Linked DNA regions of Cricetulus griseus. The protein of the gene in region 1 purifies or fractionates together with the protein of each later gene. This does not show direct contact. Links are inferred from orthologs where the notes say so. Each region holds a gene or a part of one and is shown in the gene's direction. Other genes may lie near its edges.

Evidence for each region.
Region 2: the proteins of Stk25 (region 1) and Cab39 purify together in Homo sapiens (co-immunoprecipitation; 3 studies listed by BioGRID and IntAct, counting the BioPlex papers as one, with this or other methods). This does not show direct contact. The link is inferred for Cricetulus griseus from reciprocal best matches to the Homo sapiens genes STK25 and CAB39.
Region 3: the proteins of Stk25 (region 1) and Cttnbp2 purify together in Homo sapiens (affinity purification with mass spectrometry; 3 studies listed by BioGRID and IntAct, with this or other methods). This does not show direct contact. The link is inferred for Cricetulus griseus from reciprocal best matches to the Homo sapiens genes STK25 and CTTNBP2.
Region 4: the proteins of Stk25 (region 1) and Proser2 purify together in Homo sapiens (affinity purification with mass spectrometry; 3 studies listed by BioGRID and IntAct, counting the BioPlex papers as one, with this or other methods). This does not show direct contact. The link is inferred for Cricetulus griseus from reciprocal best matches to the Homo sapiens genes STK25 and PROSER2.
Region 5: the proteins of Stk25 (region 1) and Cttnbp2nl purify together in Homo sapiens (affinity purification with mass spectrometry; 6 studies listed by BioGRID and IntAct, counting the BioPlex papers as one, with this or other methods). This does not show direct contact. The link is inferred for Cricetulus griseus from reciprocal best matches to the Homo sapiens genes STK25 and CTTNBP2NL.
Region 6: the proteins of Stk25 (region 1) and Ppp2r1b purify together in Homo sapiens (affinity purification with mass spectrometry; 3 studies listed by BioGRID and IntAct, with this or other methods). This does not show direct contact. The link is inferred for Cricetulus griseus from reciprocal best matches to the Homo sapiens genes STK25 and PPP2R1B.
Region 7: the proteins of Stk25 (region 1) and Sike1 purify together in Homo sapiens (affinity purification with mass spectrometry; 4 studies listed by BioGRID and IntAct, with this or other methods). This does not show direct contact. The link is inferred for Cricetulus griseus from reciprocal best matches to the Homo sapiens genes STK25 and SIKE1.

What each region holds. Positions count from the first base shown.
Region 1 is NC_048595.1:445,072,802-445,076,823, reverse strand, and holds part of Stk25 (serine/threonine-protein kinase 25), read left to right. Parts: intron 1-2,675; coding exon 2,676-2,906; intron 2,907-4,022. UniProt on the Homo sapiens protein: Oxidant stress-activated serine/threonine kinase that may play a role in the response to environmental stress.
Region 2 is NC_048595.1:437,527,581-437,531,602, forward strand, and holds part of Cab39 (calcium-binding protein 39), read left to right. Parts: intron 1-985; coding exon 986-1,154; intron 1,155-4,022. UniProt on the Homo sapiens protein: Component of a complex that binds and activates STK11/LKB1. In the complex, required to stabilize the interaction between CAB39/MO25 (CAB39/MO25alpha or CAB39L/MO25beta) and STK11/LKB1.
Region 3 is NW_023276806.1:208,097,150-208,101,706, forward strand, and holds the start of Cttnbp2 (cortactin-binding protein 2), read left to right. Parts: upstream 1-1,520; 5' UTR 1,521-1,629; coding exon 1,630-1,710; intron 1,711-4,557. UniProt on the Homo sapiens protein: Regulates the dendritic spine distribution of CTTN/cortactin in hippocampal neurons, and thus controls dendritic spinogenesis and dendritic spine maintenance.
Region 4 is NC_048596.1:223,303,334-223,308,103, reverse strand, and holds the start of Proser2 (proline and serine-rich protein 2), read left to right. Parts: upstream 1-1,800; 5' UTR 1,801-2,075; intron 2,076-4,770.
Region 5 is NW_023276806.1:51,981,443-51,984,383, forward strand, and holds part of Cttnbp2nl (CTTNBP2 N-terminal-like protein), read left to right. Parts: intron 1-201; coding exon 202-1,680; 3' UTR 1,681-2,941. UniProt on the Homo sapiens protein: Regulates lamellipodial actin dynamics in a CTTN-dependent manner. Associates with core striatin-interacting phosphatase and kinase (STRIPAK) complex to form CTTNBP2NL-STRIPAK complexes.
Region 6 is NC_048597.1:162,638,274-162,642,295, forward strand, and holds part of Ppp2r1b (serine/threonine-protein phosphatase 2A 65 kDa regulatory subunit A beta isoform), read left to right. Parts: intron 1-40; coding exon 41-196; intron 197-493; coding exon 494-608; intron 609-1,047; coding exon 1,048-1,118; intron 1,119-1,372; coding exon 1,373-1,507; intron 1,508-3,166; coding exon 3,167-3,340; intron 3,341-4,022. UniProt on the Homo sapiens protein: The PR65 subunit of protein phosphatase 2A serves as a scaffolding molecule to coordinate the assembly of the catalytic subunit and a variable regulatory B subunit.
Region 7 is NW_023276806.1:53,975,629-53,980,178, reverse strand, and holds the start of Sike1 (suppressor of IKBKE 1), read left to right. Parts: upstream 1-1,568; 5' UTR 1,569-1,869; coding exon 1,870-2,028; intron 2,029-2,216; coding exon 2,217-2,322; intron 2,323-3,309; coding exon 3,310-3,452; intron 3,453-4,543; coding exon 4,544-4,550.

The sequences.
Region 1 (4,022 bases):
TTTATCTGTCTGGCCAAATCTCAGCGTGGCCTTTCAGGACTTCAGGCTGCAGTTCTGCTCCAAGCATCTACTGCTGCTCAGTGAGAACTGGTCTTAGGATTTGGCTGCCAGTTCTAATGATTACATTTATTTTTGGATGGGTAGGTATGTATGTACCACAGTGTAAATATTAGAAGACCACTTATGGAAATTGGTTTCCTCCTTCCATGTGGTCCAGGGATCAAACCCAGGTTGTTAGGTTTGGTGACAAGTGCTTTTACCCACTGAGCCATCTGGTCTTGGTCTTTTTCTTTTCCTTCCTTCCTTTTTCTTTTTTGTTGTCGTCATCTTCTTTAAAAAAAAAAATAGGTTTATTTACTTTACGTGTATGTGTGAGTATATGCATGTATGCATGTGTGCATCACATGTGGGAAGTGCTTGAGATCACGTGGGCTGTTGGGAACCAAACCCATGTGCTCTTAACTACCGAGCCATCTCTCTAGCCCCCTGGCCAAACCAGAGCACATACGGACACCACAGCTAGTCTGCTCAGAGTGCCTGCTCTGGGCCAGGCATGGCACTGTGGCACACACTCGGGCCTCTTGGAGGCAGCTTTGCTTAGAGGGGTTAGGTGACTTCTGTGTTAAGACACTGCCCTTGTGCCTGGAGTTCTTCCCCGAACTTCTCTCTGCTCACCTCATCTTGTTCTGCAGTTCTTGGCTTGTCGAGGGCTGGGGAGTGTGGTCCTCTGTCTCTTCCCTTTACTTCTTTCACGGTTAAAAACCTTAAGAATGTAGCTAGTTGGCAATTTTGTCTCAGATGGGGTCTGAAACCAGTTGCTTTGCTTGCAGAGAAGAAGCTGGGGCAGTTAGGCTTCAGGGAATCAGGCAGCTATGTCAGTTTTGGAGGACAGGCTTCTTAGAAACATGGTAAACACCTAGGACAGGCTCTTCCCTAAGCAGAGGGATTTGCGCATCAGTACTTAGACAGTTGTAAATAAGTGTGGTTTTGCCTTTTTGTGTCTCGGCCTCCCACCCCCCCATTTGGGAGCTGAATTCCAGGCCTTGGGCATGCTAGGCAAGTGCTCTGCCACTGAGTTATTTCCATGGTCCCCCCCTTAAAAACAAAACAACACCTCTCCGTGTGTGTACCATGGCATGTGTGTTGTCACTGGACAGCTTTGGGAGTCAGTTCTCTTCCACCATGTGGTCTAGGGAACCAAACTCAGGTTGTTAGTCTTGGTAGCAAGTGCCTCTACCAGAAGAACCATCTTACCCGCCTGATTTGGGTTCCTTTTAACAGGCACCAAAATACTGTTTGGGGGACATCCTTTTGGGGTGACCATCTCCTAATGGAGGTGAAACTTAGCATGGTTGAAAACCTGGATGAGACTCAGCATTCCCCTTTGAGGTCTTGTGCCAGCGTGGCCAGTGGTATGGAGAACATGTTCTTTTCCAGTCTGCCAGGTAGCACAGTAGGGACATTCAGTGGTGGCCCTGGGAGAGGCTCTTCTGCTTCTTTCCTCTCTGGAGGCAGCCCTGATTCAAAACCTAGCGTGGTTTGGACAGAGCACACACCTTTGCCATCCTGGCTCATCTTCAACATGATCGGTTCAGCAATGATAAGATCCTAGTTAAATCTGAGGGCTGTCTAGGGTAGCTTGTAATGATAAATCTTTACGCCCAGCTGCCTGAGTCCTGCTGCCATGTGGACGCTTTCCACCAGGCCATCTGAGTTCCGCCCGCCACCACATTAAGGTCCCAAGTAACTCCCAGAGACTTATATTAGGTACAAATGCTTCTGTGTTTAGTATCTAGAATTAAACATCTGAGAAAGTGTTCAACTCAGTACTGGTATGAGAATGTAGCTGGCTAGAGGACTAATTTGAGAATAGAGAGGCACTTTAAGTATGGAAAACATAAGTTAGCTTTGCTAAATTTTAATCTCTCGTTTTGTTTTTGATTTTTTGAGACAGAGTTTCTTTGTTTAACAGTTCTGACTATCTGGAATTCTGGAACTAGCTCTGTAAATCAGGCTGGTCTTGAACTCAGAGATCTGCCTGCCTCTGCCTCCTGAGTGCTGTGACTAAAGGCATGCGCCATGCCTGGATGAATTTTACTTTTAAATTACTGGGGCTATGCACATGTGAGTGCAGGTGTTCTCCAAGGCCAGAGACCTCAGATCCCCTGGAGCTAAGGTTGTAGCAGTGAGCACACACTGTAAGACCAGTGTGTGCTCTTGGCCACCAAGCCATCTTTCCAGTCCATTACTTTGTTGTTTTTTTTTTTTAGAACAGTTTTAGATTTATAGTAAAATGAGTTTTACAGTACCCTCTGGCACGCACATACTCCTACCTGTCATTCCTGATAGGTCTTGGCCTGGCTCTCTGTTAGACAACTGAAGAAGGCACTTTGAGATGTGGTATTGCTAATACATTTGATTCTAAATATACATTTGAGTTGAGTCTACAGATACTTTGATTCACTGTATCAAGTCTATTGAATATAGTGTCACTTGGAGAGTGGAGAGTTACATTTAGGTTTTCTGGACAAGGGATAAAGAAGCCAGAAAAGGATTGAGGTGAGTTCTCTTTAGCTCCTTGCAGTGGCCCAGACCCTCAGTCAGCAGTCAGCCCTCTTCTAGTATTTCCTCTAGTGGGTGTTGTCTCAGCATTCTGTCCCTTCTGGCTTATGTAGAATTCTCGTGTGGACCCAGAGGAACTCTTCACCAAGCTTGACCGCATTGGCAAGGGCTCGTTTGGGGAGGTGTACAAAGGCATCGACAACCAAACCAAGGAGGTGGTGGCCATCAAGATCATTGACCTGGAAGAGGCAGAGGATGAGATTGAGGACATCCAGCAGGAGATCACTGTGCTCAGCCAGTGTGACAGCCCTTACATCACCCGCTACTTCGGCTCCTACCTGAAGGTGCTGCCAGGAGAGGGGGCATCTATGGGAGTGGGGGGGCACTGAAGGCTCTGTGCCAGGGTTTGTCCTGTTTCCAGAGGAGTTACTATGTACCCAAGGTAGAGGAGAGCAGAGAAAGGCACTGCTGGGCACATGGGGATCCCTCTGGAAGGGCAAAGAGGCTCCCCTTTACCCCAAAGCTCAGCTTCACAAAAAAGTCTGTTCTTTTGAGAAGTACAATCTACAAGAGTCAGGTGGCTCTAAAGTGGTCATAGTGACCCAGCTGTCTTATCTGTGGGTGCTGTTAGGTACAGTCTAAGGGGTCCCTGCTGGCAGTACTGTGGAGGTCTGCCAGGAGGGCACTTGGGCTATTGAAAAAGACTTAGTGACTGCTCTGGGCACTTGGTCTGTCCACCAAGTGCCTGTACCAGAGGTATGGTAGCTGGGTGGTCAGTAAGACCTTTTCTCCTGCCCCTTCCTCTGGACAGGGTCTCTGCAGACCAGCCTGGCCTTGAACTCACAAAAGATCTGCCTATGTCTCTAAGTGCTGGAATTAAGGTGTATGCTTCCTTTTTTTGTTTGGTTTTGTGTGTGTGTTATTTTGTTTTTAAGACAGGGTCTCATTGTGTAGTTGTTTGTCCTGGAACTCAGCCACCTGCCACTCGAGTGCTGGGATTAAAGGCATGTGCCACCATGCTTGGCTTGGCCCTTCTTTTTAAAAATATTAATTTATTATTATTTTTACCTATATGTGTCGCGTGCGTGCGCGTGTACACGTGCGTGCCTGAGGAGGCCAGAAGAGGTTGGTGGATGTCCCCGGAACAGGAGCCGCATGCTGCTGGTGTTGGGAATTGAAAGAGCATCAAGTGCTCTTACTGCCAAGCCATCTCTTTATCCCTTCCCCCCCTTTGAAAAACACTTGGTCTCCTTGCCCAATCTGACCTTGAACTTCTGATCTCCTAAGTGCTGGGCTTATAGGCATTTACTACCTTGCCCAGCTAGGACCCTTTCCTATTGGGGTTCCTGGCAGGAACTAGCCTGGTATAGTTTGTGTGGCCTGAGCCCCTAGCTGACATCGTTTGGTGGAGTTAGAGGAACTTGGCCTGTGGACTGCACACTTGGGTATGCCTCCTTCAT
Region 2 (4,022 bases), about 7.5 Mb from region 1:
TTGGGTTTGATCACCAGAACCAAAAAGAGAAAGACAAAAGATAGACGAGCAAAGATCAGCACCATCAGAACATTACACAGATGGATCTTAGTTCTGTTTTAGCCAGGAGAAAGTCTCTGCTGGCCAAAAAATTATTTAACTAGAGTATTGGGAAATGTTGTTTGACTACCAAAAAACAACAACAACAACAAATCCTTAAGAGAGCTTGTCAGTGGGAAAGCAATAGAGCCAATGTGTGTAGTGTGGAAGATGAGAGCAGCCTGTGTGAGCAGGCGTCAGCCTGTGAAAGGCAGTGTGCTTTGTGAAGGAGTGGCCCTAATCACTGTGAGGTTTTCTCTCTGATCACAAGGGAAGAGGTGCTGAGAACAGAGAAAAAGGCTGTGTTTGAAGAGTTGGTGAGAAGGCTCCAGGGTCCTGGGTTCCACTGTGTACTCTTAGGGTCCCCAGGTTCTCTGTGATGGATATGCTCTGTAAAAATCTTAGAATGAGGCTTGCAGTTTGGGATTTGCATGTTTCCAAGAGTCTGGAAGTACTGTTGTAAGTGCTGTTTATTTGATGGAGCTGTGTTTATACTATGTTTAAACTGAATTCCTGAATCTGGAAAGGGAATTCTCTATTACTCTTTTATTCAGTTTTGTGGTTCTTCTGGTTGTTGTGAACATGGTGGGTAAAAAAAAAAGCGCTCATGGATAGCTGACCCTGGCACTTCCTTCTAGATCTTTTCAAACATAGAACTTGTATTCTTGTGGTCCCTGCCATAGCTGGTTTTTCTTAATTGAAGGTAACTGTCCATCTCTGCGCATAGCTGTAGGTTCCACATGAAGAGACTTTGCTGTGTACTCTTTAGAGGAAATACCTTTTGTAACCTGCTGTGGTCACTTAGAAATGTGTGACACTTTGAGAGAGTTTGATGTGCTCATTTTGTTGTTTCAAAAGAGCAATCATATATGGCTTTTATTTGTTTTGTTTTGTTTTGTTTTTACAGGTATGAATCTCCAGAAATAGCTCTTAATTGTGGAATAATGTTAAGAGAGTGCATCAGACATGAACCACTTGCAAAAATCATTTTATGGTCGGAACAGTTTTATGATTTCTTCAGATATGTTGAAATGTCAACATTTGACATAGCTTCAGATGCATTTGCTACGTTCAAGGTAACATTTAAAGACTTGAATTCTAAACACACTTGCAAGTCAGATCAGGTTTGCAGTTTCCCAATCTTTGTCTTCCTCCACTACTCTATACATGACTGCCCTCTAGTGGGAGTAGAAGAGATGCATTTTATATGTGTTGGTATGTTTTAGGTATTTGTAGTAAAACCACAAAAAAAACCAGCCTAAATTAAATTCTCAAATCTTATCAGAAAGGCAAAAGTCCTCTAGGGTCAAAATTGTATGTAGGGGACTGGATACTAACATTTTCTTTCTACAGGACCCCACATGACTATCATCGTCCCATTTCAGCAGGAAGTAACTTGGAAAATGCTACGCCCCCTTTCCCCATTGTTGTCACTTAGGATAGTGTATATACCTTGTTAGGAATAGCTTCCTATTGTTTATGGTTCGGTTTGGAAGGAGGTGTTCAGGCTTGGACACCTCTTTCAGATGACTTTAGGGTTTAGTTAAAATAGATAGTTATCTTCTTATATTTTACCTTTATACTGTTAAGTTTTAATCCTCTTTTAGACTAAAAGGGGAATTGTAGGGGAAGCTGTAGCCACGCCTTCTTAGGGGCTGGCTACAGGAGTACCTGAGGGCTTGTGAGGGCGTGGTCAGAGTGAGTAGGGGGACTGCGTTTCGGTTTCGGTTTCTCTTTGCTTCTGGCTGTACAGACTACCACCGGCTGGCTGGTTCGCTCTGTAAGTAAGGCTTTTCCATATTAAATACCCTTATATTTCTACCTGACTCCGTATTGGTAATTTACTACTATAATTGTACTTTCCTGTTAAATTATCTTTTAAGTATGGCATAGATAACATACACAATACCCAACGGCCAGGCTTTCTCTTGTAATGGGCATTCTGCAGCACTCCTTTGGTTAGCACTAGACACGGTGATGTATATTGGCCTCTGCTCAGAGGCCATGTTTTTGGAATATATGTTATTAAATACAAGAACCATATTTAGTATGGAGAAACTGTTGTTGACATGCCCACCTCCTCACGGCAGAGCATAACTGAGTCACCTCAGAGGAACAGGACCATCCCTCCTGCCTCCCTATCCCATCCCCTCTGCCTCAACTTACCTCCCTGTGGAGTTGCATATACTGAATGTACATGTGACCACCAGTTTCTTTAGTTGCAAGCTTCTGTTTATGAATGAAGCAGCAATCTTGTATTTTCTTTTTTTCCCCAATGAGAATAAATCTTGATGTATTGCATTTCCTTAAATGTCCTTAAAAGTTGTTGAATTAGGGTTTCATATACTTACATGTAGCTCACTCACACACAGAAGCAATGAATACACAGTGAGAAAAAGCTCACTTTCCTTGTAAGAGCTCAGCTTTTTAATAAGGAGCCCCTGAGGTAAGGACTTGGTCTCTGGGTAAAGTACATATGTGAGGGTGCTGAATATATTAGGACAAGATGAAAGCCTGGGGACTGGCCAGTAGGGTTTCACCCTGACTGAGAATAATGTCACAGTTTTAGTGGTGCCAAGGATTTATCTCCTAGAGTCAGTACAACCTCCACAGAAGCTTTAGGTGAAACCTTACATACATATATGTAACTGTCATGTACAAAGCAAAGTGAAATGAATTTGAGATCATAACATAGAGTGATCACTATGATGTCTTACCCCACCACTTCAGTGATACCTAGGACTCATGAGAATGCCTCGATGGAAGGGGGTGCCCCGTTCAGGAACAGCAACCCAGCATGAAGGGAGGTGTAGTAGCACCCAAGTCAAGGAGAGAACCCTGTATGCAGAGAGACAGCCAGGAACCCGAGAGTGGCAGTACTCTGGGCACAGGAGGGTGAGGGGAAAGGATTGAGGAACAGCAGTGGTGTGGGAGCCCCCTGACCACAGGGAGGACATGGATGGCATGCTGCTGGCACAGATGGCCAAACTGGCTCCAGGGTGAGAGATACGTGCTGGCTACATGCCAGAAGTGTGATATCTGATGGTCTTGTGTGGCCTTGCTGGTAATTTCATCTCAGCCAGGGTTGCTTCTCCCCAAGGAGAAGATGGTGGTGATAGAGCCACTGTGGGTAACACAGTCCTGCCAGGTTATGGTAGCAAGAAAGGGGAGGATTTGGCAGAGCTAGGCAGGTGGTCTCTCCTTGAAGAAATGCATTTCAAAAACCACTTGGTATTCAGAGGATGAATTGCTCCAGAAGAAGCTCTGAGCCAGTCTGGCTCTAGATCCCGGTGTTCCTGGAGACACAGAAAGGGAGAGCTCATGAGAGGCTCCTAATAGTGAACAGAGCGTGGACTATACATGTGCAAGGAAGAGAGACTACCATCCGATCTCAGACTAGCCAAGTACCAGACAGATCCAAGCTACTTTATTCCCTGATGGAAATTCTGGTCAGAGCAGGAGGACCACCCTGAGGGACAGTAAAGGTGCCCGTGAGAAGTAAGCAGGGCTCCTCCTTTCCTGTTGGCTGGCATCTCGCTACAGAGGTGGCTTTCTGCATGTTAAGCTTTGAGAAAACATATTCTGCACAGTTTTCAGACACATGCAGTTTGTGGAACAGGTGCTGTGTCTTCACACTAAAACCATCCTTTCTAAAGGTGTCCCGGATCCAGAGCTTGACTGAACACTGAGCTAGCAAACCAGATGGCCAAATACCTGCTAGTGACTGGGGGTTTGTTTTGAGGGATGAAAGAAACAGATATTTATCATTCCAGAATAAAAAAAGAGCGTAGATTCCCCCAGAAAACCCAGCAGAGCTTGGAGCTTGAGATTACACCTGTGACAGGTCTCAAGAGTGTTTCCAGAGAGATGAAATGTAAGCATGCATTGCTAAGAGAGAGTTTGATCTGCTAATCCTGAGAGTGCACAGATCAGGAGTGCTAAGG
Region 3 (4,557 bases), on another chromosome or scaffold:
TGGCCGAACGATGTGCAAAAATGAGTTTTGAAAAGAATAAGAAATATCATTGCTTCTAATTTTAATTATTTACTATCAGTTCAAAACCTTTTACTGTCAAATGCTTTTCTTTTATCTTACAAGAAATCTAGAGAGTCTCATATTAAGCAATTTCAGGAGAATATTCGATTAAATAAGAGAGTTGTGTGATGAACAGGAGTACAAACCGAGCCTGGCCACCTGAGTGAAGCCACAGAGAATAAACAAAGGAAGCCCTGAATCAGGATGACCTCCATCTGCTTCCTAAAATCTGACCCTTAACCTCAGAGTTTCAGGTGGAAGTTTCCTTGACCTCTCTTTTGAGAGCAAACTTTCTAGATTTTGCTGACCAATTCTTTCCAGTGTCTTTGTAGAAAAGGTTTTCTCTGATGTGTCATACTTGGATCCAGTTTGGAAAGCTGAGCAGTTAAGGTGTCAGAACTTCTCATTAGGAGCAGGTTGTTTTGTTTTGTTTTAAAGGCTTTGATCTGTGCACTTGGACTGAACATTCCAGTCATTCATCTTCCAGAATTTCAAGTGTGGGATTGGGTTGTCGGTTGATTTGACTGATTTGATGACATCACAGAGACAGTTTGAATGCCTCCATTTGATTTTGTGCTTTCAACACATCTTTAGGGACCTGGAACTTTAGGGACCTCCTTACCATATGGTCTCAGCAAGGTGATAAATTTTCAGATTCTGGGAGTTGGCAGGAAAAAGTAAGAATGGAATTAGAGGCAGGATGGGGGAAGTTAAGTGTCTTGGCCTAACTCATTCGTGCTAACTCCCCAACCATGCATTTCCAATCGACCATTTTGTCAAAGGTTTGTGTGTGTATATTTGGGTTTTCACCTGCACGGAGAAGTTGCTGTTCTCACAAAAGTATTAAGACATCACTGATACTTGGTGGTTTTTCTGGATGGACCCCTGGGGGGGGGGTCTCCACCTTCCTTAAAAAGAGAATCGAACAGAAAGGCACCTAGCTGAGGGGCTTAAAAACAGCAAGGCACAGACTTTCAGCGGAAAGTTGATCGTTTTAGAGGGTGAGCATCGAAGATGCGATTAAAAAAAAAAAGCTGGGTGTATATAAATCAAGAGGATAGAAGTGTTCAGAAGGCAAGAGTTGGGAAATATTAAGAGAGGCACCTCGATGGAGCTAGTCGAAGTGAGGGATGATGGTTCCTCGACCGTAGATCTTAGATTTAGCATCCAAGGGCCTGACATCCAGTTCGGTTTGTGTCCTGCTAAGTCAAGAGTTTGTCAGCCCATCGCCTCCGGAAAGGAAGCTTATTTTCTTTTGCATCCTGGGGTGTTTGTCTCCCCAACACCAGCTCAAAGCCACGCGGCTCGCTTGCTTGCTGGTTCTTGGTCCCTTGGGAGCGGCTGCTGCAGGCTAGCGGGTGGGCGGGGCGCCGGCGTCTGCAGCGCGCAGAGGGTTAAGCGGCAGGGGCGGTGCGCGCGGGAGGCGGGAGGGGGCGGCCGGGCTCCGGGGCTGAGAGCGCCGCGGCCGCAGCCAGCAGCGGGTTAAGCGCCGCCCGCCCGCCCGCCCGCGCCGAGAGCAGAGCCCCGCCGCTGCTCCGAGCTCGCATTCGGATCCGCTAGAGCAGGAAGATGGCGACGGACGGCGCGAGCTGCGAGCCCGACTTGTCCCGCGCCCCGGACGACCCGGCGGGGGCCACGGCGGAGGCCGCGGTAACCGAGTTCCCTGGGCTCCGGGAACGGTGTAGATGCGGGCTGGGGGTGGTGCCCCGGTCCCCGCCGGACACTCCCCGAGGGATGCCCGGTGCTTCCCTGGAGTGCCCCCTTACTTCCTCGGGGTTCCATTTCCTTCTCCGAGGTACACCTTCCCAGGGGTGTCCCCTTCCTTCTGGGGTGCCCCCTCCCTGGTGTGCCTCTTCTCCTGGATGCCCCTTCCTTCCCCCGGGGTGTGCCCTTCGGATGTCCCTTCCCTGGGGTGCCTGCCCCCAAGGCCAGAAGCGGATTCGAGTAGCGCGACGCTACCCCCGCCGCCCCCGAGGTGCTAGGAGCCCGTCGGTCCTTCTGGAAGCTCCCCGCATGCGTCCTTGGGGACCCCTTTGCCCACTGCTGGGGTGCTCACGGAGGATCTCAACCCCCATTGTTCAGCTCCGCCAGGCACCGAGCAAATGCTAGTCTCGGGGTGCCTGACACCTCTTGGGAGACCTGGGGAAGCAGCGAGGGAAAGGCGACCCGTCCGTCGCCAGGCAGGTGTGGAGATGCTCTTTGTGTGCGGGGGTTCGTGTGTCTCGGGGGGGGGGGGAGGACGCCCCGTGGGAGAGGCCCCGCGCCCAGCTGTGGGTGCTGCTGCAACTGAGCGCCAGCACTTTGGGTCCTAGCTGCCTGCTGCTCCATCAGTCATCGGTAGGGACCTTCTTCCCCAGGCGGAGTGGCACTGAGCTGGGGTTTCCGAACCTGGTGTCAACACATTGTTCCTTTCCCTAGCGTCCTCTCTTGCTTAGGCGCCTACCTGCTCCCTTTTTTGGTACTCTTGAGTTGTCTGCACGCACAGACGCTCCCCGGTGGTTCCCACTCCCTCTGTGCCCCGCTTGGGGGGTCTCAACCCACAAAGCCAGCTTGGAAAACGTTCGCAGGTCTGGGAAACAGCTTTTGCCAGAGCGGCAAAGATGTGCAAAGAAAGGCAGGTCTAGGAGCGCCTCCCAGTCTTGGCCAAATCCCGCAGCTCTCTCGGAAGATTCTGAGTGGGACCGAGGGAGCTGAGCAGCCTGGCATGGACGCCCAGGTCCGTATCTCCCATCTCCAGAGCCCAGACCCGGGCTGGGCAGGACCAGGTGTAAACAACCTGGGCAGTTTAATTCCCTCCCCTCTGGAGGGAGGGCTTGCTAGGAGGAGAAGGCAGGGGTGTGGAGGAAGGTACCTGGAGGCAAGAGCTGCGAGAGGAGAATAGGAGGGGTCAGGTACTAATTCCCATTGGTGAAAATAGAAGACTCTGGGCTAAAGTTTTGGGAAAAATAGCGGGTTTTTTTTTCTAATAAGAACTTTAAAGATATTTCAAATGAAACCTTTCCACTTGAGAAATACTTTCATTCTGAGAGTCGGGGACAACGAAGAAAATGGCTATCAAAGCAAAAGTCCCTCTGGGAAGCTGAAACTATTGAGTGTCCTGTTCTCCATGAGGGGGAAAGTGGAGGTGTGGGGGTCGCGCTCCTTCTCCCCCCAGGAGGGTGGATAGTTTGTTTAATCTACTTGGAATACACAGCTTTGTGCCCACAAGATATTTCGGCCACCAGGCAAACCAACACAAAGCATGCAGTTTATGATATGTAAGACTGTAAACAAAATTGCATCGTCAGGAATACTGCTGTGCCAACAAGGTCAGTGTTGCTGTCGGCTGTTTAAAATTGTCAGGAGCCCGATTCAAAGGCTGCTAAGTTGGCAGCTTGATTGTTCTGCTTTGGTTGAGGGAGAATAGCCAGGCAAAATCTCACCGACTGGGACCTCCTCCGTTATTCCCAAGGGATCCCTTAGGCTTCAAATCTGCAGTAACAGTGCTAAGGTATTTGAAGTAACTGTCTACTTTTAAGAAAGAATGTGGTGGCTTTTTATTCAGTAAAACTGGACTTCATTGTTTACAAGTAGTTGGACTTGAAATATGGGGACTCTTATGTTAGCTACTTGAGTAAACTGGCATTTTTTTATTATTTTGAGGATCACATGTAGCTAAAGCTTATCATGAAATCATGGTTCTCCTATCTCTCTGCCTCCTGAAGGCTGGGGTTAGTAGTCCTTACCACCACCCTGCCTGGCTTTGACTTATTATTATTATTATTATTATTATTATTATTATTATTATTATTATTATTAAAGAAAAGCTAATTAGAGAAATCCTGTTTGTCATACTTGTTCTTCTTCTAATGGTTAAAAATTAAAACTATATTTTGCCAACAAAGGACTTAATATATATTTTTAATTATAGTGAGGAATTCTCTTTTTGCCTCAGAGAGATTTATTTCATTTCAAATTGGTTTACGTCTTGTGGAATTTTATATATACATTTGGCAGAATCAAGCTAGTGAAGCCTCCAAAGCAGTTGGCTATTTTTGAAAGTGCATGTTTTTAGAGGGCTTTTTAAAAATTCTATTTAGATTGTTGCTTAGGAACTGGTTTAATTTATAGTTTGCAGTTTAATATAATTTCCAGTGGAGTGTTTTAAATTTAGTTTGTTATCCTTGTTCTTCACTGTTTAAATCCTGAAAGCACCTCGAGTGTAAAGCTGGCTAACAGCTACATTATTCAATAGGATCATATTAATAGTGTGATCCATGCCGGGAGCCTGGGTTATTTTCAGTGCCTTAGCCAAATGGGATGACTTTTATAGGCCATATTGCTATTTCTGCTCAGAATACAACTCTTATGGTAGGCAGTATGGAAAACAGAAATCTGCTTTTTATTGTCACTGGAATTTGGGAGTGAGAAGAAAATGGAGATCCACTTACAGCTGTATTTAGGGAGGTGACTAGCATTGTGTTCACTCTGGGCTTTTGGGATTAGCTAATATGCAAA
Region 4 (4,770 bases), on another chromosome or scaffold:
ATATACCTCTAAAAAAGCCACTGAATGATCAATGCATTCACACACCTAACACAATACAAGACAAAGAGTGAGAGGAACAAACAAAGAAAAACCCAACAGAAATGGAAATCTTGGATCTTTATTCATCAAGGATGGGGAACTGTCAGGTTAGGTTCTCTTCTGGATTTGGTTCAGAAAGAGGGGCATAATAATACTTGCTTAATTAACTAGCATGTTGGGCAGATTAAAGTGCTTTGTAAACATTAATTAAAGATGCAGGGAGCTAGGTGAGTCCAATGTGTTATTAGAGAAAACGTCTTCTTCCCTTTAATCAGGTAGCTCTTCTTCCTGGGGAGGGCCAAGGTATGATCTAATGACCGAGGAATTGGACTCAGCCCTGACAGCTGCCTATAAGCCAGTCTTTTTGTGCAGCCAGCCACTTCCTTACTTTTCTGTGAAATGGGTATAAACACAAACATTCTGGGAATATAGATTGTTGCAATGGCTGTCGTTCCAATTAACAAAACACATGCCCCTGGCTTTCTCACCAGTAACACTAACTTCCACCCACTTACAAAAGGCTCCCACAATTAGCTGTTGTTATTAGCTATTCAGAAATATTTCTGGTGGTAAAAGACATAGACACAAACTGCAGGGTCAAAAGCTGAGCATTTCTTCAGCCTTGGCTACCTCAATATCCCTTCTCTGTAAAGTGACCATAAGAAACCAAAGCACGAGGCCCTGGAGATGGCTCATCAGGTTAAGGCGTTTGCCATGAGCCCCAAGTTTTAGCCTGTGTGCTGCAAGAAAGCACCACCTTCTGAAGAATGCCCTATGACCTTTAGGTTCGTGAAGCAATTCAAGACACACACAAATGAGTAAATAAATAAGTGGCTGTACCAAAAGAAACCAAAGTTCTCAAAAAAAAAAAAAAAAAAGCAAGGAGGATCTTGAGATTTTTCATAGAAAAAAATTGATTATTTGAGGAGCTGTAGCTATGTTTACTCTGATTAAAAAAAAAAAAACTCTGTTCAATATGCACGAGTACAGGAACATTCCACAAGTACCTCACAAACATATGCAGCTCTTACAAGTTCATTAAAAAAGAAATAAAGCTGGGTGTGGTAGCACACACGCCTTTAATCCCAGCCAGGCAGATGGAGTTCCCTGAATTGGAGGCCAGCCTCGTCTACATAGTGAGTTCCAGGCCAGTCAAGGCTATATAGAGAGACCCCTTCTCAAAAAACAAAAACAAAAGATCTACCCCCAAGAAAATTAAATAGGAAAAAAATAAAATAAGCACTGTCCAAACGAATTAAAAGAAATAATGTTTGTCACATGTCTGAGAGTATAAGTATTTCATTAATGGCTGCCGTTGTTATTATTAAATGAAAATAATCTCTCCAAGATAGTGTTGCTGTTGAATGCCTGTAATTCCAGAAGTCAGGAAGCTGAGGCAGGAGGATCACAAATTTGAAGTCATCCTGAATGGTGAAACCCTGCTTCAAAAAACAAACACGAATGAAACTCTCAAAGTTGGTGGAGAAGTCCCCTTTCGTTCAGGACTTCAAAAGCACATCCGCATAACGATGTCACATGGTTAACCCTTATTTCAGTCTCATAAGTAAAAGAAGACCTTGAAAGGTGGCCAAAGGCGCAGCTAGGGGTTTTAGGCTCTGGTCCTTTAAATATCGCGGGGGCGCGCACTGTACTTCTGAATAACTGGAGTCCCGAGGCCGGGAACGCGCGGCAGAGATGCGGAGCGAGCCGCCTGGTGGCGGGAGCGCGCACGACAGTGAACGCGCAGAGGGGAGGTGCCGGGCGCACCGGGGAGCGCGCGGCGAGCCGTCCGGGACAGTCGGCGGGTGTGCGCGGCTTGCAGACGGGTGGACTGCGTGAGCGCTCCGGGTCGCAGTCGGCGTGGACACCTGCGGCCCACGGAGGGGACCTGGCTCGGTGAGTTCGACCCTACTGAGCTGGGACAGGCCGGCCGAGGGGCGCGGCAGCAGCTGTCCGGATCATCGAGGGCACCGGGTCCAGGTCTCTGAAGTTGGAGAAGTTCTTTGCTCGCAGCTGGGGCGCCCGTCGTCGCCGAGGTCAGTGCCACCCAATAGCCTTCATCCCCGGTCTTAAGGGGTCGCGACGCGTGGCTTCCTCAGGAAAACCTCAGGGTTTTCCCGAAGGCGAGCGCTCTGTGGCTCACGGCGTGTAGTCTGCGTGCGTTGGGTCCCTGACTCTCAGGCTTTAGTCCCCACTGCCCTTTCCCAGAGCCTGGGGAGGGGATCGGCGCCCGACTGCGCGCGGGGACCGTGTCCCCTGAGAGGCTGAGACCCGGGAGGTGGTCAGAGCCACCTGTTAAACCGGGGTCCTGCGCGAATCTTTCTGTAGGTTTCCGTGCCCCCGCCAGTTTCTCGCAAGTAACTGAATGGGACACGGCTAATGGGACACGGCTTAACAAAAGGCAGTCAAACGGCAGCGTTTCTCCAAGACGGAAAGTTTCCCTGCATTGTTTTACAGATTCTAAATTTAAGCCACTACCCCCCCACCCCCACCCCGGCCACTTAGCCGCAGGACAGCATTTAACTCTTTGCCTGAACCTATTCGGTGTAAAGGAATGTGTTTCCCCCAAACAGAGAAAAACTTTTTTTTTTTTTTTGCTTTTCGAGACAGGGTTTCTCTGTGCAGCTTTAGAGCGTATCCTGGCGCTCGCTCTGTAGACCAGGCTGGTCTTGAACTCATATATAGGTGCGCCTGCCTCTGCCTCCCAAATGCTGGGGTTAAAGGCTTGCGCCGCGGCCACCACCACCGCCCAGCCCAGAGTAAAATTTTCAAGCCCTGCTATCTTTCTGGTTCCAATTGTAATAAAGAACAACAATAACAACAAAAAGCTTTGTCCCTGAGCGATCAAGAAACACGAAACCAGGTATTAAGTGTAAACTTGTGGAAAGTGCTTGCAGAACAGACCTGTATGAAAAATAATTTTCTGTGAGGTGCTCCAGTGTGTGCTGAAACTTTGCCCTCATATTCCAAGCCTGAATGTTCCAGATTGTTTTTCTAGGTGGAGGAGGTATTTTCGTTGGTGCAGCCAATGTGGAAATACAAACAAATGCCCTATTTACTTGGGGTTGGGTGGGAAGGGTGGAAGTCAGCTAAGATCTTTCTTGCCAGGCTTGACAGTGTATGTATGGAATCTTGTGTGTTTTCTTGCCCAGACGGAGTAAAGGCCTCATTTTCAGTGGCTGGATAGGCTCCTTCTAACATTGCCTCCAATGAGCTTCTCCTGATAATTTTAAAGTACATTTTCTCTACTCAGAGAAACCAGAAATTTGAAACTAGAGTAAGTGGCAGTTATAAAGAGGAGTTGTGCTTTTGAAAATAACTGAGTCTGTTTGACCTTATAGTTCTTTATTGCAGAGGGATTGGCCTGTTCTAATGCAGGCCTTGGTGTAGCTAGCTAGTCGTTCATTCATCGTTATGTTTGTAGTCTGTTTGACCATCTCCTATGTGCTGAGCCCTGACTTAACCACTCACTGCACATGCAAGAATTTCTAGATAAGGGCCATATGGTCCAAACTGATTAAAACCAGATCTGGTAACCGTGCCTTCGTCAGTGGCTGACAAGACACCTGGCCTTGATTCCAAAGTTCTCAGACACCTCAGGAGCCTGCAGTTGGCACCTTGTGTTGATCTGAAGATCAGCTCGGGTGACTACTAGAGGCAGAACAGAGCCTGAGATGGAAGGGAGGGAAGTGAAAGCCCTGGGTGGAGCAGAGCAAAGCACAGGGAAGCCTCTGGACAGAAAGTTCAAGTGCATCTTATCTGCATTGTTACGGGATGAATGCCAGTGGCATCAAGACCATTTGGTAGGTGCCAGGGGAATCCTAGGAGCATCCCAGAACTCGAGCACTTTTGATAATCGAGGGCAGCATTTCATTTCGGTTTCCATTGCACTTTCTGGGCGTGAGGTGAAGGCTTCCTCATGGGTGCCCTACAGAGGACAGGCTGTCTCCGTCCCCTTTCTGAGTGCCTCTACCATGCTGGGACTTCCTTCTCTGCATGTAGTGACATCCCTGATAACAGCCTGTCTGTGAAGAAGCACAGTGAAGTTTCTCCTCTCGGTAATGCCATTGTCTCCTCTCAGAGTAGCAGCACCCAGTCTTGACATTCGAGAGAGTTTAATGAGAGCTGGAACTGTACTCATGCTCTGTGCGACTTAGCATCCCACCATTTTGGAGCAGTACTTGCTAGCTCTTATGAATGGATATCATCATACTAGATACTTTAGCACTGGGAAAACTTGATTCGCATCTCCCACTCCTGCCCCCATCAGGTTCTCATTTAGCCTAGGCTGGCCTTGAAGTTGGTACCTGACAGTGGATGACCTTGAGCTCCTAGCCCACCTATCTCTACCTCCCAGGTGCTGAAATGGTTCTCATTTTTAAAAATGTCCATTGCATTTATTGTTGCTTTTATGTGTGTGTACACATGTGCACATACATGTGTATGTACCACAGTGTGAGTGTAGAGGTCAAAGGACAACTGACAGGGATGGATTCTCTTTTTCCACTCTGTGAATTTCTGGTTTAGAACTCAGATTGTCAATTTGGTGGCAAGCACCTTCACCCACTGAGCCATTTCACCAGTCCAATTATCATTTTTTTATTGTAAAATATAAAGTACATAATTACATACAATTTATCATCTTAAAGTCTATTAAAGCATGACACTAAGTGTATTAATAGTGTCATGTAACCATTATACCTGTCTGGTTCTAGAACTTTTCCATCAGCC
Region 5 (2,941 bases), on another chromosome or scaffold:
AATCATAGTATGTGGGGGTTCTGTGTGGGATGTTTTCATACTTCAAAAATACTAATTAACCTAAGCACCGTGGCGTTCCTGCTAATACCGAGTGTGCACCAGAGAGCAGCTAGCGAGGGCACTCTACATGATCATAATTTTCAGTGCATCCTTTTGTTTTCCTACTCTAATCAAGATGTGTGGTGGCTTCTTTTTTTCTAGTTGGAATTTGAAAAGTCCCAAGTGAAAAAGTTTGAAAAAGAACAAAAGAAGCTGTCTAGTCAGTTGGAAGAGGAGCGCTCCCGCCACAAGCAGCTCTCGTCCATGCTCGTGCTTGAGTGCAAGAAGGCCACCAGCAAGGCAGCCGAGGAAGGGCAGAAGGCCGGAGAGCTGAGCCTGAAACTGGAGAAGGAGAAGAGCCGGGTGAGTAAGCTGGAGGAGGAGTTGGCCGCTGAGAGGAAGCGAGGCCTGCAGACAGAGGCCCAGGTGGAGAAGCAGTTGTCTGAGTTTGATATTGAGAGGGAACAGCTGAGAGCCAAACTGAACCGAGAGGAGAACCGGACCAGAGCCCTGAAGGAGGAAATGGAAAACTTGAAGAAGTTTGTGAGAGACCTCGAGGCTGCCCAGCGGCACAGTGGCACCAGTGAGCAGTGCAGAGAGCCAGTAACCACGTCCAAAGGCACAGCCACAGAGCCCCCCATGCTAGTGTCTGTGTTCTGCCAAACAGAGAATGTTCAAATGGAAAGAAGCCACGGGAGCATCATAGCCAAGCTGACAGACACTGGTCTTCCATGCCCCACCACTCCTGCTTACTCATATGCAAAAGCCAATGGCCACTGTGACCCAGAAATCCAAACTGCTAGGGAGTTGACCTCAGGCAGCAGCACAGAAAACCAAGGGCCTCCACGAGAGAAGTCTGTGGCATCGGCCCAGGAGAAACCAATGGAGAATGGTGGGTGTCCTGTAGGAACTGAAACTCCAGTCACAATGCCAAGTCACCTCCCTTCCAGTGGCAGCTCACTGTCTCCCAGCAGCACTGCCTCCTCCTCTCTGACGTCATCTCCCTGCTCTTCACCAGTTTTAACCAAGCGTCTCTTGGGGTCATCAGTCAGCAGCCCCGGCTACCAGTCCTCCTACCAAGTAGGGATCAACCAGCGCTTCCACGCGGCTCGGCACAAATTTCAATCGCAAGCAGACCAAGACCAGCAAGCCAGTGGTCTCCAGAGCCCTCCGTCCAGGGACCTGTCCCCTACCCTTTTAGACAACTCTGCTGCCAAGCAGCTGGCCCGAAACACGGTCACACAGGTGCTCTCCAGATTCACTAACCAAGGGCCAATCAAGCCAGTCTCTCCCAACAGCTCTCCCTTCGGTACAGACTACCGAAATCTGGCCAACACTGCCAACCCAAGAGGTGACACCAGCCATTCCCCTACTCCAGGGAAAGTGTCCAGCCCTCTGAGCCCCCTATCTCCAGGAATCAAGTCCCCAACCATACCCAGAGCCGAGAGAGGAAACCCTCCGCCAATCCCCCCAAAAAAACCTGGCCTCACCCCGTCCCAATCTGCGGCCACTGCAGTGACCAAAACCCATTCCCAGGCATCATCCTTGACCAGTACAGAAGACCTTGCCAGCAGCTGCTCTCCCAGTGCTGTGGTGGCCAACGGCAAAGACGTTGAGATACTTTTGCCCACCAGCAGCTAGTCCCTTGGAGTGAGTCTCCACACTTGACATTCCATCAGATGTCATCCAAGAGCTCAGAGTTAAACCTTGGAGTCAGATCATATTATTTATTTTGATAGTAGCTACAGCCATCTGTATAATACATTCAGTGTATTTACCTTTTTGTATTTTTTTTTTTTTTTTAAGTAGAAACTGAGTACTTTGGGTTTTATGACTCACCTCTTTGTACTAAGCTAGAAGGGGACCCCACAGACATCTCAAGCTCAGCAGTCACCAGCATGTTGTGATGGAGATAGCTAATTGGCGGTGATCTGCTGTCAGTTTGGGAGCTAGAATTACTCAGCACTCATTTCAAATTATGCAGAAGCAGTTCATGCAGATTTTTATCCCAGATGAACATGCTTTAAAAGTGCCTGAAATAAGACTGCCACATGAATGTGATTCTCCGGCAGAGCCGAAAGACAGAGCATTTATTGCAGAAAATGAGATCCTCTGAATCTGAATGTCAAAAGCCAACACTGCTTTTAATCCTCTCCGACTGTTCAATACCAGCTTTGTGTTCCAAACCAAGGTTTGCATACGTGGAGTGGAAATCCTTCTAAAGGGGCGTGATCTCTGCCAGGCTGAGCCTTGCGCTTCATTAAGCCCTTGAGAAACCCTCCTGAGCACTAAGCAGTTAGGGTGCTGATTTTCTTGTACTTTTGAAAAATTAAGTCATTCTCAGTTTCCTGCATCAGTTCTAGAATAGAGTGAAATCACATCTCCATTCCAAACCACCTTCAAGCATCGACTGTTGGGAACTTCTGGTTCTGGTTGCTTTTACTTGAATAGGAAATGACCTAATGAGCTCTTTATTCTGTAATCAAAAAGCAATAACTTAAAAGTCACTCTTTGTAATATTGTAGGTCAGAATTATACAGGTTTTACCAAATTGTTACATTTATTCTCCATGCTGCCAGCACTTGTAACTGTGGAACCAAATTAACTTCTGCCCAAATGGAAGTATACATATATCTGTATAGTTACATGCCCCTTTACATGTTCAACACTTAAGCACATAAATATTAGTGTGATTGTATGTTTGGAGTTTGCAGTATAGCATAAAGGACAAGTAGAATCGCATGTTAAGATTACCTACCAAAGCAACTACATGTGGCTTGGAGCCAGTCAGTCAACTGAGGAATCAATTTCACAAGGATTCCTTCATTTGCCACAGCCCCAAATGAAGCCCCAATCATCAGATCATAGAAAGGCACAACTAAACTAACTAGCCCTCAACTGG
Region 6 (4,022 bases), on another chromosome or scaffold:
TGTTTGACCAAACTGACCAAATGTAATGTTTTTCCTTTAGGATTCTGTGCGCCTGCTAGCCGTGGAAGCTTGTGTCAGTATTGCCCAGTTACTGTCCCAGGATGACCTTGAGGCCTTGGTAATGCCTACACTTCGGCAAGCAGCAGAAGATAAATCTTGGCGGGTTCGCTATATGGTAGCTGACAAATTTTCAGAGGTAAAATGCATTGGCATTTCTGGTATTGAAAACCTCAAAGGCATTTGCCCTGCAGATTTTCTATTAGATACAGCTTACACATTCTATTGAATAGCTTTGAATATAGAATCAAAATTAAAAAAGAAGACAATTAATCTTTCTATTTTGGGGTTAGTGAGATGGCTTGGTGGGTAAAGTGTTTGCCATTCATGCCTGCCAGCCTGTTGTGGTTATAGCATACATTTGAAGATTGTATTAGTTTGTTGTTATTAACTGTTTTTGTTAGTGTACATTAAACCTGTATAAATTGTTTTTTAGCTCCAGAAAGCGGTGGGCCCTAAAATCACACTCAATGACCTCATCCCCGCCTTCCAGAGCCTCCTTAAGGACTGTGAAGCTGAGGTCCGAGCAGCCGCTGCCCACAAAGTAAAGGGTGAGTCCGGCTATAACTCCTTTGACTTTGATATCTTGATTTGATGTGATTTTGGTGTGGTGTTTTTATGAAAATAGTACTGAAAATGTACAAATCAGGAAAAAAAAATCAGTCTGCGTCACAGCATTTCCATCCACTTTGAGGTGTTTGTCATGTTAGGAAGTTTGGGAAAGCTTGAATTGATAAGATGTTGCAGACAGAGATGGTGTCAGCATGCAGCTGCTGCTTCATAGGACACATTACACCCGCTGTATCTTGTTTCTTTCCTTTGAACTAGTTTGCGACACCGGGCATTTAGACCATGCTATGAGCAGCAGATTCATTTTTCCCATTAGAGTTTGTCTGCTTTCACATGCAATATAACTTGGAACTTTTGGGAAGACTGGTTAACTTCCGTTGGCTCCTTGATAGCATTGCATTTTCTGTTTATCTGTTTCAGAACTTTGTGAGAACTTGCCCACTGAAGGTAGAGAGACCATAATTATGACTCAAATCCTGCCCTATATAAAGGTGAATGTGACTTCATTTTATTTTGCTTACTCTGCCTATGAAGCTGTTAGCATTTTAACAAGGACGAGGCATAAATGAGTCAAATACATGACATTTGTGACAATATTTAGAGTTTATTTGTGCATGTCATAATTGTACACTATTGGTGGGTGCTTAGGTTTGTTACCAGGGGGTGTCTGGGTCGGCTACTCTGTTGCTGTTGACTTGGGAGGTGGTGTAGAGACTTGTTGTCTTTAATTTTTAATCTGTTTCAGGAATTAGTGTCTGATACCAATCAACATGTGAAGTCAGCTCTAGCTTCTGTAATTATGGGATTATCTACAATTTTGGGCAAAGAGAATACCATTGAACATCTTCTGCCTCTTTTTTTAGCTCAGTTAAAGGATGAGGTGAGTCTGGCTATGAATTGTTTTGCCTTGATGTCATTGATTTGATGTGATTTTACTGAAATATAGGACCTAAAGTGTATAGATGGGGGAAGAAACCATAATTTTAAAGATATTTGACAGTCCTCTTGGAGTATAGTGCTACAGTTCTCAAAAATGAGCACAAGGGACTTACTGAAAGACAAACAAACGTAGTTGGATGTGGTGGCTCTTGCCTTTAATTCCAGCACTAGGGAGGCAGAGGCAAGTGTATCTCTGAGTTCGAGGCCAGCCTGGTCTACAGAGCAATTTCCAGGACAGCCAGAGCTATATTGCGAAACCCTGTCTCAAAAAACCAAAACCAACTTAAACCAACTAAAAAAAAAAACTAGGTGCTGGAGAGGTGTATGGGTAGTTAAGAGCACTTACTATTTCAAAGGACTTGGGTTTGGTTCCCAGTACCCACATGACAGCTCACAACTCTAGTTTCAGAGGATTGGATGCCACCTTCTGACCTTTGCAGGCACCAGGCACACTCATGATGCAAAAACATACATTCAGGCAAAACACTCCTACATATAAGTCTTAAAACCACCCTGAAATACCTGTCTTTTAAATTTTTATATTATACTCATTGGTTCCCTATTTTTAAAGCCTAATATAACTTAGCCTAAACAGTGTCTTTTATTTAAGGTTTGAAATATAGCATCTGATATTAACATATAGGGGTTGGAACGATGGTTCATCAGATAAGAGACCTGCTGCTTGTCAAGGACCGGGGTTCCAGTCCTAGCATCCACATTGAGTGTCCCACAACTACCTGTAGCTTCAGCTCTAGAGGATCCCTCTTCTGTCCTTCATGGGCACCCACACACATAGAAAATGTCCACATGACACAGACAATACATATACCCAAAGGAGAAATTAAAAAATTAGTGCTAGGCATGATCTGAGTGCTTTGTAATGCCAGTAAATGTAATTGCACCAGTAGGTTTAGGTCTTGGGTTACTCCCAGATGTGTCTGAGGAAGCGAGGCACAGGGAGATAAGATGATGTCTCCAAGCAGTGGCAGATCTAAGATTTGAGTACATAGAATTTAATTTCAGGGCCTGGGCTTTTTACCATCTCATAGACTTTGTGCTTATTTATTAACTAAAAGTCTAAAAAACTTTATTGTGCATGTCCGTGTGCATGCATGTACATACATGCAGAACTCAGAGTCTATCCTTCATCCATCTTTACATGGGTTCTGGGGTTTAAATCCTAGTTGCCAGGTTTATGAGGCAAGTGCCTTTTCCTGCTGAGCCATCTTGCCTGCCAATTTATTATTTTTTAAAATTGGTGTACAAAATAATGAAATCTCATAGGCTTTTTCTGACATTCTGGTTAAGATCAGTTGCATTGTGTCTTGGATTATCTGTGTATTTAGCATTTAAGATTTCCTTCTGCCTGTAGTTCTTTTGGTCAGTACTGGCTTTTGAGCCCAGGGCTCTCTGCTAGCTGACATGTTTTACCACGAAACCATATCTCAGCTCTGTGTCCCCCCTCCCCCCCCCCCACACACCTTTTTAAGCCTGAGTCCGTACTGAATTTTATTTAGCACTTTTTATTTTATCATGCCATGAGGGTACTGGGCAAAGGAGTTCATTTTCACATGTAGTCTTTGGACTTTTGTGTTTATAGTGTCCTGAAGTTCGTTTGAATATCATCTCCAACTTGGATTGTGTAAATGAAGTGATTGGAATTCGTCAGCTCTCTCAGTCTCTCCTTCCTGCCATAGTGGAACTGGCTGAAGATGCCAAGTGGAGGGTCCGCCTGGCTATCATTGAGTATATGCCGCTGCTGGCAGGCCAGCTGGTGAGTTCATGGGCTCTGTGAGCAGTAGGGTCTGTCAGATTGTGGAGCTGAGCGTGGTGAGTGGGAGGCCAGTTGTCAGTCTGGTCTGGTTCAGTTAGAGGCATTGAGGTAAATTCTTGTGGCTTGTGGAATGGTTTTTATTTTCAGTAGTGCAGTAAGGCCTAACAGAAGGGTGTTCTAGAGACATACTCACCTTGCTGCCCTCCTCATGATAAAGGTGTAGAGTGTATTTGGATCTGTGGAAGAACATACGGTTTCAGGATGAGTCACTTCAGCTTTTTGTTCGACTCTGTCCTAAGCAAATGAACTTAGAAGCATTTTCCTGATGACATATAGTTGGGGATCCACCACACAAAGAGCTTATAATGCAGACTGTTTTGGATAAAGTCCTGTTATCACACTGTCTGCTATTCTTTGGGTTTCATTATTAATTTTATTCTAATCAGTATGACTAATTTAAAATTTCAAAGCTGGACTTTATAGCCACATGCTTCCCTTTCTTTCTCAATAGGTACAGACAATGAGAAGCTCGATGGCCCTCACACCATGGTAGCCCCTAGACTCTAAGGGCTTAAAGAGTTCTTGAATGTATGGCTGGGGAGATGGATGAGTGATTGCTCTCAGCACAGGAGCTGTGTGGTGTTTCATTTCCAGTGGCTATTGTAGTGCATGTTATTAATTA
Region 7 (4,550 bases), on another chromosome or scaffold:
TGAGCCACATGGGAATAGCAAATTGAAATCATAACCCTGTCAGTATGCCCCACATATACAAAACTACTCACAATTTTTAAGCTTTATTTATTTATTTATTTAAAGAAAGAGAGAGAGAAGGAGGGATAGAGTTAGTTCAAGTGTCTGGTGGAGGTCAGAGGAAAACCAGTGGGCATGGTTCTCTTCTACCAACTTGTAGAATCCAGGAGTCAAAACTCAGGTTGTCGGGCTGTGTGCAAGAACCTCTAACTGCTGAGCAATCTCACTTATTATTTATTAATTAATCTTAACATTTATTTATTTATAGGGGTTTAGGCACAGAGGTCAACTTATGAGTGCATCCTGGGGATAGAATTCAGGCAAGCACCTTCACCCACTGAGCCTTCTTGCAGGCCCCAAAAGGTTTTATAAAGAAAAAAGTATCGGGGTAGTGGTGGCACATGCCTTTAATCACAGCACTAGGAAAGCAGAGGCAGGCCTGGTCTACAGAACTAGTGCCAGGACAGTTAGGGCTACACAGAGAAAACCTGTCTCAAAAAACAAAAAGAAGAAAGAAAAGGAAGGAAGGAAGGAAGGAAGGAAGAAGGGAGGGAGAGAGAGAGGGAGGGAGGAAGGGAGGGAGGGAGGGAGGGAGGGAGGGGGAGGGAGGGAGGGAGGGAGAAGTGAAGCAAATAAACTTACCTAATTCATTTTTCCAATTTATTAAAAATTGAATTTGTAGCCGGGCGATGGTGGTGCACGCCCTTAATCCCAGCAAGTTCCTGGAACTTGCTCTATAGACCAGGCTGGCCTCGAACTCACAGAAATATGCCTGCCTCTGCATCCCGAATGCTGGGATTAAACATGTGCACCACTACCACCTGCCTGTTTATATTGCATACTGAACTAAAATTTAGTGTATCACTGGCTGTTTTCCCCACTTACTCCCACAAGTCCCCTGCCCTCTACTCTCTATGGCATCCCAAGACAATAAACCGGTAAAAGGCGATCTGGAATCCATACTGTTTTTCTTTTCTATCCATTAGCGAGTCACAGTTCTTGGGTGTGTTCTATTAGATAAGGGAACTGCCATCTCACTTGTGTGTCATTATATTTCTTGGGTGCCACATCCCTAAGTCCACTGCCACACTGGTAAGTGTAGCCTTCAGTAGTTTTGCATACAGTCCCAGTCCTCATAATCTAATCTTAAAGCATTGACAGCATCCCAAAACATAGCTTCGATTTGAGACCTGAAATACTAATGTGTGTGTGTGTGTGTGTGTGTGTGTGTGTGTGTGTGTGTGTGCGCGCGCGCGCGCGCGCGCGCACGCTATTTGTATACACAGGTGCAGTTGAGTATGTGGAGGTCAGAGGACAACCTCAGTCACTGTTCACCTTTTAAAGGAATGGGAAGGGAGGGAGGGAGGAAGACAGGAGAGAGGGGAGGGGAGTAAGAAGGGAAGAAGGGGTGGGAAGGAAGAGGAAGGACAAAGAGGAAGGAAGAGAGGAGGGAGAAAGTGAGAGGTTCCAGTGTGTGTTCACTTGTGTGGGGGGGGGGGGAGGTGTTTGTTTCATCGATTTGTTGAAAACCCATGACTAAATAACAAACCACATCCATCAAAACCAGAAGAAAAGGAGAACTGAGACAGGAACAGCTGTAACATCGTGAAGAACCAGAATTTGGGACCAAGTCGACCTCTGCGGCTCCACCCAAGAAAATCTGCGGCGAAGCCTGAGTTACCGCGAATCCGCCACTGCGCAGACGCCGACCAGGCTGCCCAGGCGCCTTTAAAGTGTGCCCGGAAGTGACGCGATCGCGCTGATCTCAAACTGGGGAAGGGCTGAGCGAATCGCTGAGGCTAGCGGGCCGGGCGGGCGTCCTCGGCCACTATGAGCTGCACGATCGAGAAGATCCTGACCGACGCCAAGACGCTGCTGGAGCGGCTGCGCGAGCACGATGCGGCGGCCGAGTCGTTGGTGGACCAGTCGGCCGCGCTGCACCGGCGGGTGGCGGCGATGCGGGAGGCGGGCGCCGTGCTGCCCGAGCAGGTCGGGCCGGGTCGGGCCGCGCCCTGGGCGGTGGGCGCTGCGGGGAGAGGGCAGGTGGGGTCACCGTCTAATTATCCTGGTGCGGAGGACAGGGAGGGCTTGAGAGCTTCCTGTGGAATGGGTGGGACTGCTGCCGCCTCTGCAGCACCTGCTGTGTTTGCAGCGGCTTAATCAGTCTCTCTGTCCAGTATCAAGAGGATGCACCCGACGTGAAGGACATGTCTAAATATAAACCTCACATTCTGCTGTCTCAAGAGAATACCCAGATTAGAGACTTGCAGCAGGAAAACAGAGGTTAGTCGGGCTGTGTGTGTGTATGTCTAGTAATACTTTGAACGTTCTTACACAAGTGCCTGAATAAGTTCATAAGCTTACACATCTCATAACTAGGGTCAGTGCTTAAGGTCAGTGCTTAAGAGGGTCATCTGGTAACAATAAAGTCTATTAGGTTGCTCTTTTTTAAGTCTTTGAAAGATGAGTTTGAAAGAGTTGTTTAGTAGAGTTGAGTTGTTTGGTGGTTGGGGTGGGCACATACCAGATGGAGGCTTATATAACTAAAATTCAGAGTCTCAAAATGTAATTTCTGATATATGTTAGAGTGAACACTAAAGTTAATATCGAAGTAGGTTTTTTTTTTTTATTTATCTATTTTTTTTTTAATGTTCCTGGGCAAGATGGAAGGCTGAACTTTGTCTCCAGAATATACATTCTTCGGGTTGGTAATGACAACAGTATGGCAGTTGTCTTGCAGAGACCTTTTTACACCTTCCGTTCCATCCCCTGTTGTCATTTTGAAGTCCACAACCCAAGTGTTTACACAATGCAATTAAGAAACAGGTTCACATGAGCCAGCAAGATGGCCTAGCAGGTAATGGCACCAGCCTGAAGAGCCAAGCCTAAGGACCAGAATTCCATTGGAAGGAGAGAAATGACTCCTGACCACACATGTACACTGTGGTATTTGCACACAAATCAACAAAATGTGATAATATTTTTTTTAAATGGGCTCATTTTGCTTCTGAGTCTTAATTAAGCAAGTAAATGAGAAAACTGAATTCAAATCTGTGTCTTATGATTACATATCCCATTTCCTTCTACAAAAGTCCACTGCCTAGAAAATTGTTTTTCAGATAGACTTTACTCACTTCTGTGGGCTGGAATACCAATTTCCAAGTTTGGATTCACAATATCCCATGGAGTATCAGAAAGCCCCAGCTGTTAGGAGGTTTGCCTTGAGACCTGTTACAGACATCATTGCCCAGATGTTTGCTTTTTTGTTAGAGCTGTGGGTTTCCTTGGAGGAACACCAGGATGCTTTGGAACTCATCATGAGCAAGTACCGGAAACAGATGTTACAGTTAATGATTGCTAAAAAAGCAGTGGATACCGAACCAGTTCTGAAAGCTCACCAGTCCCACTCTGCAGTAAGGAAACCCTGATACATAAATTATAAATAAACCAAACTGAAATCCTGAGTTGTTGTTTTGTTTGCAGAAAAGCATGTTCCTCTTTCATGGTTTTCATAGTCACTCTATCTGACTGAAGCTTTGTGAAGATATGAATAAAGGAAGGGGACGGGGGCTTCTCACATCCTTTTGGATGGTGTCACCTCTCTCACCAACATCTATTTTTCAACCTGAGATAGGACAGTTTAGAGTTGTAGGCCAACCTGGACTACATAGCAAGCTAGATAGCAAGCAAGATGGCAGCTAGCGTTGAAGGCATTCCGTGAATACTTTGCTGATTACTTGTATGTTCTACTAAACCATGAGTTTTGTAGTGTTGAGGGCATTAGTTCAGTTTTATCCATATCTTCCACATAGCAAGTAGTCACTAATTTCATTAAATTATTCACATTATGTTACCGGGGAGTCTTGTTCATTTTGTGGCAGTTCCTCTATTTTAGTTTTAGTTGCTTACTATTTAATTTGGAAAAAACTAACTAGTTTTTAGTTTCTACAGTGCTTACTTATTATATATTTGCATGTATTGTGTATTTTAATTTTTAGTTCTTAAATTGGAAGCTACTATTTACTACAGTGAAAGATACAATTTACATTTCATCTCCCATTCCATTAGGTGGATTTTACTGACTTACAAGTTTTAGGGAACTGGGATGTCTTTAAATATCTAAATATTTGAGTTATTGTCTGTTTTGTTACTTGGGGATGGGGACGCTAGGTCCCATTTAGTCCAGGCTGGCTTGGACTAATCCTTAACTCCTAATCCTTTCTCCTCAGCCTCCCAAGGACGAGGATTATGGGTATGTGCCACCACACCTGGCACCTGGGTGTCAAATGGTCTTTAGAAAAATGGAAATTATTTGACGTACCACAGATTTAAATTATTGTGGCTCAAAAGATAGTGTAATTGAAGTGTAACTTCTATAGTATGTACTAAATGAACCCCTCCCAGTTTATTTCTGCAAGGCTTTTAATAGACTTAAAATTCATAATGCATATGCTTTTCATGGTCTTAATAACTAAAAACTATTTTTTTTATCTTACTTTCACAGGAGATTG